Linked DNA regions of Callithrix jacchus. The protein of the gene in region 1 purifies or fractionates together with the protein of each later gene. This does not show direct contact. Links are inferred from orthologs where the notes say so. Each region holds a gene or a part of one and is shown in the gene's direction. Other genes may lie near its edges.

Region 1 (4,991 bases):
CTCTGTTGCCCATGCTGGAATGCAGTGGCACGATCTCAGCTCACTGCAACTCAAGCAATTCTCCTGCCTCAGGCTCCCGAGTAGCTGAGATTACAGGTGTGCTCAACCATGCCCAGCTAATTTTTTGTATTTTTAGTAGAGATGGGGTTTCACCATGCTGGCCAGGCTGGTCTCAAACTCCTGACCTTGTGATCTTCCTGTCTTGGCCTCCGAAAGTGCTGGAATTACAGGCGTGAGCCACCACATATGGCCTCAACACATTCTTTTCTCCATGGGAGTTGATGCTGGAAGAGGGACAGAACAGGGCCCTTTAAAGTATGGGACTTCCTTGTTCAGGTGTAAGGATCGTCGTAGGAAGGCACCACGCTGGCATCATCAGACCATCTCAAAAGAAGAGTAATTCACCGTCCCAAAGCAGCTCTCGTGTCGACGGGTGGCTCCCTTGGCAAGTTTACAATGAACTGAAATCTGCTGAACTTCCTGGAACCCAAAGAAACTTCAGCCTTGGGCAAAGGCCATTTGGCAAGCGTTTGAACTGTTTATGTAACCGTCTAGAATATACTAATTATCTGGAAACTACTAAATACAACAAGCAAAACTACAATTATGTATACTTTCTGGAGGATGATCAAAAAATGTGAATTGTGTTTCTCTGATAGGGGATGCATTAGAGTCTGAGGGTCTAAATAACATAAATAATAAGTAAGTAAATACATAGATAATAGTGTACTCCAAACAAGGCTGGAGTAGCTTCTGTTGTTCATACTGGACTTGAATTAAGTCTCAGTATTTTGCCATGCTCAAAACTAAATGCTAGGCTGGACGTGGTAGCTCACATCTGTAACCCCAGCACTTTGGAAGGCCGAAGAGAGCAAATGGCTGGCTTGAGCTCAGGAGGTTGAAACCAGCCTGGGCAACATGGTGAAACCCCCGTCTCTACTCAAAATACAAAAATTAGCCGGGTGTGGTGTTGCATGCCTGTGGTCCCAGGTACTTGGGAGGCTGATGCAATAGGTTCGCTTGAACCTAGGAGGTCGAGGCTGCAGTGAGCTTGATCGTACCACTCCACTTCAGACTGGGCGACAGAGCGAGAATTTGTCTCAAAAACAAACAAAAAATTACCCCCCCCGAAAAAGTAGTTTGTACTATTTTCTCATTTCATAATATGCTTTTGAAATACTCCCCTTGAAAGATAAGTCATCTTTATCATCCTGTTTTATGGAGGGATCATAAATTATGTCATCATTCTATCCTTCTCCTTGAGTGTTGTGGCCTTGGAGCCAGACAAAAACGCAGGAGATGCGTAGAAGCCACCTAGTTACCGTTTTGGTTATCTGTAGGGCTGTGGTCCTGCAGAGGAAAAATGTAGGCGTATGGAATTCTGCCAACCAAATAAACTCTGTGCTAGGACTAAAAAAATTGCAGGGGAAAAAAAGGGGAGGCCGGGGATTGAGGTGTAACGACTTCCTACACCTTCAGAAAACTGAAAACCAAGACAAAAAAATGAAAACTACAAAAGCATCCATCTTGGTACGTCCCAATTTCTGAGTAACAAATGAGACGCTGTGACCAAAATCAGTCATAACTAATGACATTTCTAGATAAAGTGACTTCAGATCGCCAAGGCGTACCATGTGTACCTCATTTTGCCAATGTCGCGTCCTGCATTCGGCGGGCGACGCGCCCGTTTGGAGAAAGATGTGGTTTTTTTCCACGTTTCGGGTTTCTGGACCTTTCCGGGCTGTGGGGCGGGGGAAGTCTGCGGCGCACGCGGCCCCTTGGCCCCGCCCCCGGTCATTCCCGGCCACTGACGACCCGAGGCTGCGGCAGAAGGCGGGCTGAGCGCGCGCAGGGCGATTGGCTCCGGGCCAGAGTGGGTGGTGCACGTAGGTCCGGCCTATAAAGTGCCCGCGGCGCTCTCGCTTGGGTTTGCGCCGTTCTCTTCTGCAGCGTCTGTGGTTTCTCTGGCAGTCGTTGGAACCCGGATCCAGGCGTGGCCTCGCGAGTGATGGCGATGAAGGCGGTGTGCGTGTTGAAGGGCGACGGCCCGGTGCAGGGCACCATCAATTTCGAGCAGAAGGCAAGGGCCGGGGCGGAGGCTCGTGGCGAGACCTCTCCCGTCCGCTTGCCCGCCCACGCATCTGTACTTGGAGCGGGCCGTCAGCCAGGCCTCGGGGCTGTCCTGGTCCGGCGCCCGGCCCCGGCCCCGGCCCCGGTCGGTACCGCTCGGTCGGTGCCTTCGTCCACGGCGGTGCGGCGTCCGCTAAATGCTGAGTCACCGGGCGGGCCCGGGCCCGGGTGCGGGGTGTGGGACTGAGGCCGCCGCGGGGCTGGGCCTGCGCGTGGCGGGAGCGCGGGGAGGGATTGCCGCGGCCGGGGAGGGGCGGGGGCGGGCGCGGGCGTGCTGCCCTCTGGGGTCGGTGGACCCCCGCCGCTGGGTCGGTTGTGGTGCTTGGAGCCGCTGTGCTCCTCGCTTGCCTGGCCGTGTTCTCGTTCTGTGGGTCCCGTGGACGCCGAGTGTTCTCGTTCTGTGGGTCCCGGGGGTGGCGACTGCGCGGGGGGACCCCTGGTGTTCGCATCCTTCTCCATTTTCCGACTTCAGCGCTCTAGGTCAGGGAGTCTCCTCTTTTGTATACAGCTCCAAGGCTAAGAATATTTTTTATATCTTTAAAAGACTTTGGAAAAGAAAAATACGCAGCAGAGACCGTTTCGTATGGCACTTTGCAAGAAAGTTTGCTGACTGTTTTAGGTCTGTTCTAGGTCATGGTTGGGCTGCAAGGGTAGAGAAGGTAGCCTTGGACAGAGGTCCTTTTCCTCTTCCTAAGCTCCGAAAGCCAGAGATTTAACTGACCCTTTCGGGGATTTTCGAGGGCAGTGATTCTTAATTTTGGGTGCACAGTTACCTCATTTGAAGATCTTGGTAAAAATACAGACACCAGAGCCCAGCCTCAGACCAATTACATCCAAACCTGCCCTGGTGCAGGGTGAGTAATGCCAGGTTTTAGAAGTTTCCAAGGTGATTTCGATGTGCACCCACGATTTAGAACTGTTCTTTGAGGTCAGTGGGTGGGGTTTAGGGTTTGCAAATTAGAAGAATTGGAGTTTCCATTACACCGAATTGGCACTTAATAACTAGTCGGAGCATTTCTGAAGCCAACTTCTCTGTAAAGTGGCTTTAAAATTGCTCTGCCATTAGGCAGGTTGCTAAGATGGTCAGAGACAAACTTCTCAACGAATCTTGTAGGATAAAATATACAGAAATATTTTCAGAACTGTTATCAGTAAAATTGCAAAACGAGTTGCCAGAAAGGCGGTTGTGATAACAGTGTCCCCAGAACCTTAGCGAACTTACCAACTGGTGGAAAATTGTCTCGTACTCGGCTTAAAAATCGAGAGGATATTTACCGTATGAATGAGATTCCGTCTTTAAAGGGATGTACAGAAACAGGAGAGGACAGGAACAGTCTGTGTAAGTGTCTGAAATTTATGTGAGGGAGATACAAGTTTAGCTTTTTTTTTTTTTTTGAGAGAGTCTCGCTCTGTCGCCCAGGCTGGAGTGCAGGAGCGCGATCTCTGCTCACGGCACCCTCCGCCTCCCTGGTTCAAGTGATTCTTCTGCCTCAGCCTGTCCAGTAACTGGGAACTACAGGCGTGCACCACCATGCCCAGCTAATTTTTGTTTTACTAGAGGCGGGGTGGGGGGTTCACCATGTTGGCCAGGATGGTCTTCATCTCCTGACCTCGTGATCCACCCGCCTCGGCCTTCCAAAGTGGTGGAAGTTACAGGCGTGCGCCACCGCGCCGGGCCAGCTTTTTTCTTTCATAGGCCTCCAGATTTTCTGGAAAAGGTTCTTTGCCATTTGACTTCATTTTGCAGGTTTCATTTGTCACTTGGTTGTGTCCCTCTTGAGTTCTCCCCACATAATTCACCAGTACTAGTTTTAAGAGCCTCTGAGGAATCCCCTCTCCTGGGCCATTGAGAATCCGTGCGTGAACCCAGGTTTCTGTCATTTTCTCCCTTCCCTGAGCAGCTTGCAGAGTTCCGTCTCTTAAGCTCCAGGCTTCATTTGGTGATGCCCGTTGTACCTGAGAAAGACGCTTGGAGAGTGGAGCATTCCGGCTCTCCAGATATGCAGAGATAATTGGCTGTAAACTACTTGGCTTGGCCCATTCTATGTTTAAAATCTTGGACTCGTTGCCAGCTTTTGCAAATCAGAATTTTTCACCTATTAATTAAAACGCTCCTAGCTTCTCTTGGAGAGTTTTTGGAGATCTCTTCATACTGAGCCTTCACTGGCCCAAGGGCAGCACAGCTGGAGCAGTTCGTGTATTTTTTTCACTTCCCAGGCCTGTGTCATTCTCCTAAGTTAACAGCCTGGTCCCTGTAGGGTTGTACCCAGGCACAGCCGCTTACGTGTTCCCAATGCATTACCTGTTAAATGGAGGTTTGAAAGAACCTGCTCTTTTTGGCTCTGTGGTCTTAATAGAGTGTTTGAGGGACAACTTTTAACAGTTGAGTTCTTTTCAAAATTAAAGGTTGTAAAAGGGTCATGGCATCTGTTCTCAAAAAGAAAACAATTTTAAAAGGCAGCAATTGCCAGAAGACTTTGTTTGAGCAGTGGTATTTTCCAGTGGAAAGTCACCTCTTAAAGGCTAATGCTTCTTAATTGTTGGCCCTGCCTATTTGAAAACAAACCAAGCTAAAAACAAGAGACACTAACGTGTTGTATGACTGTGTCTATTTTAGTCAGATCTAGTTGTAACTTTCTTGATTTCTGTATATAGCCACGGAGCACCATTACCTGTCACCATTACTTGAATGGCGATCCTGTTTATCTTCGTGGTAGAGTGGAAAGGTTATCTAGGTTTCAGTGCGTGAAAAGATTTTAGAAAACACTAGTATCTCTGGTTAGACTGGAATAAGTCCTCTCCCACGGGAAGTGGAATAGGATAGTTTCTGACTGCGAATTAAGAATACGTGGCTGGGTGCA
Region 2 (4,538 bases), on another chromosome or scaffold:
ATTAACTGTGGAGAGCTGATTTTTGGTTTTTTTTTCTTTTCTTTCTTTTTTTTTGAGATGCAGTCTTGCTCTGTTGCCCAGGCTGGAGTGCAGTGATGCAATCTCGGCTCACCGCATCCTCCACCTCCTGGGTTCAAGCAATTCTCCTGCCTCAGCCTCCTGAGTAGCTGGGATTACAGGCATGCACCACCACACCTGGCTAATTTTTATATATTTAGTAGACGGGGTTTCACCATGATGGCCAGGCTGGTCTCAAACTCCTGACATCAGGTGATCCATCTGCCTCAGCCTCCCACAGTGCTGTGATTACAGGCGTGAGCCACTGCACCCAGACTGAGAGCTGGTTTAATGATCATGTAAAGTTCTGTTTTATGGAGATGCTATAATCCATCTAGCCAGCCCTGCTGTTGGACATGTAAGGTAGTTTCCAAATCCTTCTGCAACAAATGTTGACCTTCTGCTTAGGGTTCCTTCTCTTCATGTTAGTTCATGTCTGATGTTTGCAGCCCCCTACCCCTAACTCTAACAGCTCAGGCAATACCAAGCCTCAGGGTTAGCCTAGGCTCCTGTAGGCCCCCTTTCCTGTCCACAACCCCTTCCTTGGATTTTCCTCGGGACCTCAGAGCCTCCTCTGACCTGAGTCTGTTGGCCCTGTAGGGCTTAGCCTTGTGCCTAGTCTCAAAGCCCAAAGCTGTGCTGGGCCTCCCATGCTAACCTCAGTTTGGCTTCCCTGGAATCCCTTTCTGGGAAGTCAAGTTCCCTATAGGCCTCTCCGGTTCAGCCCCATCATGTGGCCCCTTTCTGGAGCTGCTGTGCCAGACTGGAGCCCCTCCAGGGTCTTGGCCCCCTCAAAACCCATAAGGGAAAGAGGAGGCGAGGCTGGGACAGAATGGGGCCTCTGAGGTGTGGGCCTGAGGCTTTGTCCTTTTGGCCATGGAAGCAGAGGCCTGGCCTGGCCTGGTGGAGGCCACAGAAGAGTAGCTTGAGGCAGGGGAGGCTGCAGGGAGCGCTCCCAACCTGCTGGCATGTGGAAGTGCTGAGTCATGCTGACTGCTCCGGGGGCTGGCTGGCCCTGCCTTGGCCCTGCAGCAGCAGACAGGCCTGGAGGCTTGAACTGCTGAGCCTGCAGCCAGGTTGAGGGCCTTTTACTGCAGGAGCAGGAGGGCAGCTGTGTCCCCTCTGAGCCCAACCAGGCACCAGCCTCATTTCCTGGGGCCACACAGCTAGACACTGGGCAGGGTAAGGGGAGGTGCCCAGGTCCCGCCACTCCTCACCCTATGTGCATGCCTACGCTGAAAGGAGCAGACATTCTGGCTGCAGTCGGGCCTGCGTTTGCATCCTGGCTCAGCAACTTCCTGACAGCGCGACCTTCAGACAAGTCCTGTGTCTGTTGATGTCATCCCTCTACCACCCCCATCCCCTCACGTCTCCCAGGCTGGGCTCAGAGTCCCTGAACTGGTCTCCCTTCCTCTAGCCTCACCCCCTCGCCCATCCCTCCCCTGGGGCTAGGGAATGTTCTGTGGTTCTGTTTGCTGGTAATTTATCCCAAGTTCAATGCTTTTTTTTTTTTTTGAGACAGGATCTTGTTCTGTCACCCAGACTGGAGTGCAGTGGCACGATCTCAGCTCACTGCAACCTCTGCCTCCTGGGTTCAAGTGATTATCCTGCCTCAGCCTCCCGAGTAGCTGGGATTACAGGCACCTGCCACCATGCCTGGCTGAATTTTTTTGTATTTTTAGTAGAGACGAGGTTTTACCATGTTGGCCAAGCTGATCTCAAACTCTTGACCTCAAGTGATCTGCCTGCTTCAGCCCCCAACATACTGGGAGTACAGGTGTGAGCAACCACATCCAGCCTGTGCTCTTTTTAACATGTCTCACTGTCTTGAAAAGATCACAGTTGCCTGTGTTGAGGGGAGAAGGCCCCTAGGGTAGAAAAAGGGCCAGGTCCAGCCTCAATCTTGGGGTCAAGGGCCCGCCATGCTCCATCCTCCGCCTGAGCCCTCTTGCTCCGTGGTGTTGCCTGGAGTGCCTCAGCCCTCCCTGGTCCAGCTCTCTCCTCCAAGCAGAAGCAGAGCTTGGTTCCCAAGGTTCCCTTTTTCCCATTGGACCACCCAGCTGTCCCAGGGCCTCCTCCAACCTCTGGTTCACAGTGGGGCCCGTCCCCTGCAGCAGGTGTCTCAAGCCCACCCACCCATTCTTGCTCACTTTCCTCTTGCTCCAGCAACCCCCATTTTTCTAGATCTTATCAGCCAGATCCCTGTTGTCCTCGACTTCTGTTTCTTAACAATCAGTACTTCTTTCTGAGCTCCTGACGGCTTTCTTGATGGCCATTTTCTCTTGGGGTGTGGCTGGGTGGGCTGCAGGGACCTGGTGACACTGTTGTGCTTTGAGTGTAAATACCGTCTGTTCTACATAGCCACACACGGCTGCTCCTTTACCCAGAGTACAGGCTCCTTGGAGGGGTGGGGGCTGGGTCCCGGACTGAGAGCTGGTTTAAGGATCATGCGATGTTCTGTTTTTATGAAGATGCTATAATCCATCTGCAGGCTCCTTGAAGGGGTGGTGCCAGGAGCCAGTTGGGTCCAGGTGAGAGGGACCAGGCTGACTCACTGTCTGTTCGCAGCTACCGAGTCTATTGCTTGCTGGGAGATGGGGAGCTGTCAGAGGGCTCTGTGTGGGAGGCCATGGCTTTCGCCAGCATCTACAAACTGGACAACCTCGTGGCCATTCTTGACATCAATCGCCTGGGCCAGAGCGACCCGGCCCCGCTGCAGCACCAGATGGATATCTACCAGAAGCGATGCGAGGCCTTTGGGTACGTATGAGGCTGTGGCCTAAGCATGGTCACAGTGTGGAGAGTGGTCTGTGATCGCAGCTCTGCAGGTGCAGGAGCTGAAACTGGGACCTTAAGCCCCATTTACAGGTCCCTTTCTTTAGCATTTGACTCACAATTTCAAACTCTAGGCATTTGGACCTAGCGGCTCAGGCCACCACCATGGATTTGTGGGCCAGGCCCAGTTTTAAGTGAGTTTCCTTGTTTTTGTGGTTGTGGCGTGGTGGTTCTCAGAGTTTCCACACATCATCTTACATAGGCTCACTTTATTCTTGAGGGAGGAGGTTTTTTTTTTTGGAGATGGAGTCTCGCTCCGTCACTCAGGCTGAAGTGCAGTGGCATGATCTTGGCTGACTGCAACCTCTGCCTTTAAGGTTCAAGCAATTCTACTGCTTCAGCCTCCTGAGTAGCTGGGATTACAGGTGTGCACCACCACACCCAGGTAATTTTTGTATTTTTAGTAGAGATGGTGTTTCACCATGTTGGCCAGGCTGGTCTCAAACTCCTGACCTCAAGTGATCTGCCTGACCTGGCCTCCTAAAGTGCTGGGATTATAGGCATGAGCCACCATGTGGCCGATGGAGGAAGGTTCTTAAGGGATGGGGGCTTGCTCAGTAAAGCTCAAGGACATATACCTATGGAGACATTTGAACTTCAGTTTGGGGGCTGCCTCCTGTGACCAGCCCCAGCCAGCCTGGGGAAGAGGAGCCAGGCCCCTGGTGAAATAGGAGAGAGGGTTTCCAGATGCCCGCCTTGGGCCTTGACTGATTACGAATTCAGGGTCAGGGGGCACAAAGTAGGGAGGTGGGTCTGCATGGGTGTCAGCCAGACGGGCCCACCTCAAAGCCTCCACTGTGGCCCCAAACAAGCTGCTCTGCAGAGGGACCCAGCATTGGCTGAGGCGGCTGGAGGGGAGGGAGCAGGGCAGGGGCTATGCAGGGCTTTGGGGCCTCAAGTCAGGCCTCCAGGGCTGCCTTTTGTAGATGAGCCCATGCCTGTGACTACACTAAATGACAAGATGCTTGGGGTTACCTTGCAGTAGCCTGTGTTCCCTGATGACTGACCTCAGAAAGGGACAGGAGGAAGGGGGGAAATCATCTCTGTTGGGCAGACGAGGAGACTGAGCCACAAGGTTCTCACCCCACAGGCATCCTCAAGGCCACATTGATCTGGGGACTCAGAGTAAAACCCCAGCAGCACCCCCAGGACCTGTGTCCATAACTTCATGGCTCAAGCCAGATTCCTGAAGTCCTGGCTCCACCACTAACTTGCTTCGTGGTGTGGGGCATGTTACTTACTCCACCTTCGGTGTCTCAGTTGATTTGTCTGTAAAATGGGGGGCAACTCAGCAACCAGGCACAGCATGATGAGGCTTCAACGGGCTAATATGGGTAGTGCTTGGCATGGCACCTGCAGAGGGAACATTCAGTTTGCGCGGTGCTATTTTTATTATGCCAGAAAGAGTCCCCAAAAGGACTCCTTTTCAAGAGAAAGGCTGCTCTGCCCAGCTCCTTCCTGTATATTTGACAACATGGTTCATTTCATAAAAGTTTCCAGCACCATATCCAGCATCTGTGGAGTGATCAGATGTGTTCCCTGAACAAAAATTGGGCCAAAAAATTCTTCAAGAATCTAATAACAGACAGATTCCAAACCCAGTGCGCTGACCCCAGAACAGCTTTCAGTAGGAAATGAGCGGATCA

Evidence for each region. The genes of interacting proteins can lie anywhere in the genome.
Region 2: the proteins of SOD1 (region 1) and TKT purify together in Homo sapiens (affinity purification with mass spectrometry; 3 studies listed by BioGRID, with this or other methods). This does not show direct contact. The link is inferred for Callithrix jacchus from reciprocal best matches to the Homo sapiens genes SOD1 and TKT.

Annotation. Positions count from the first base shown.
Region 1 is NC_133522.1:37,803,952-37,808,942, forward strand, and holds the start of SOD1 (superoxide dismutase [Cu-Zn]), read left to right. Parts: upstream 1-1,925; 5' UTR 1,926-2,008; coding exon 2,009-2,080; intron 2,081-4,991. UniProt on the Homo sapiens protein: Destroys radicals which are normally produced within the cells and which are toxic to biological systems.
Region 2 is NC_133516.1:35,778,787-35,783,324, reverse strand, and holds part of TKT (transketolase), read left to right. Parts: intron 1-2,625; coding exon 2,626-2,817; intron 2,818-4,538. UniProt on the Homo sapiens protein: Catalyzes the transfer of a two-carbon ketol group from a ketose donor to an aldose acceptor, via a covalent intermediate with the cofactor thiamine pyrophosphate.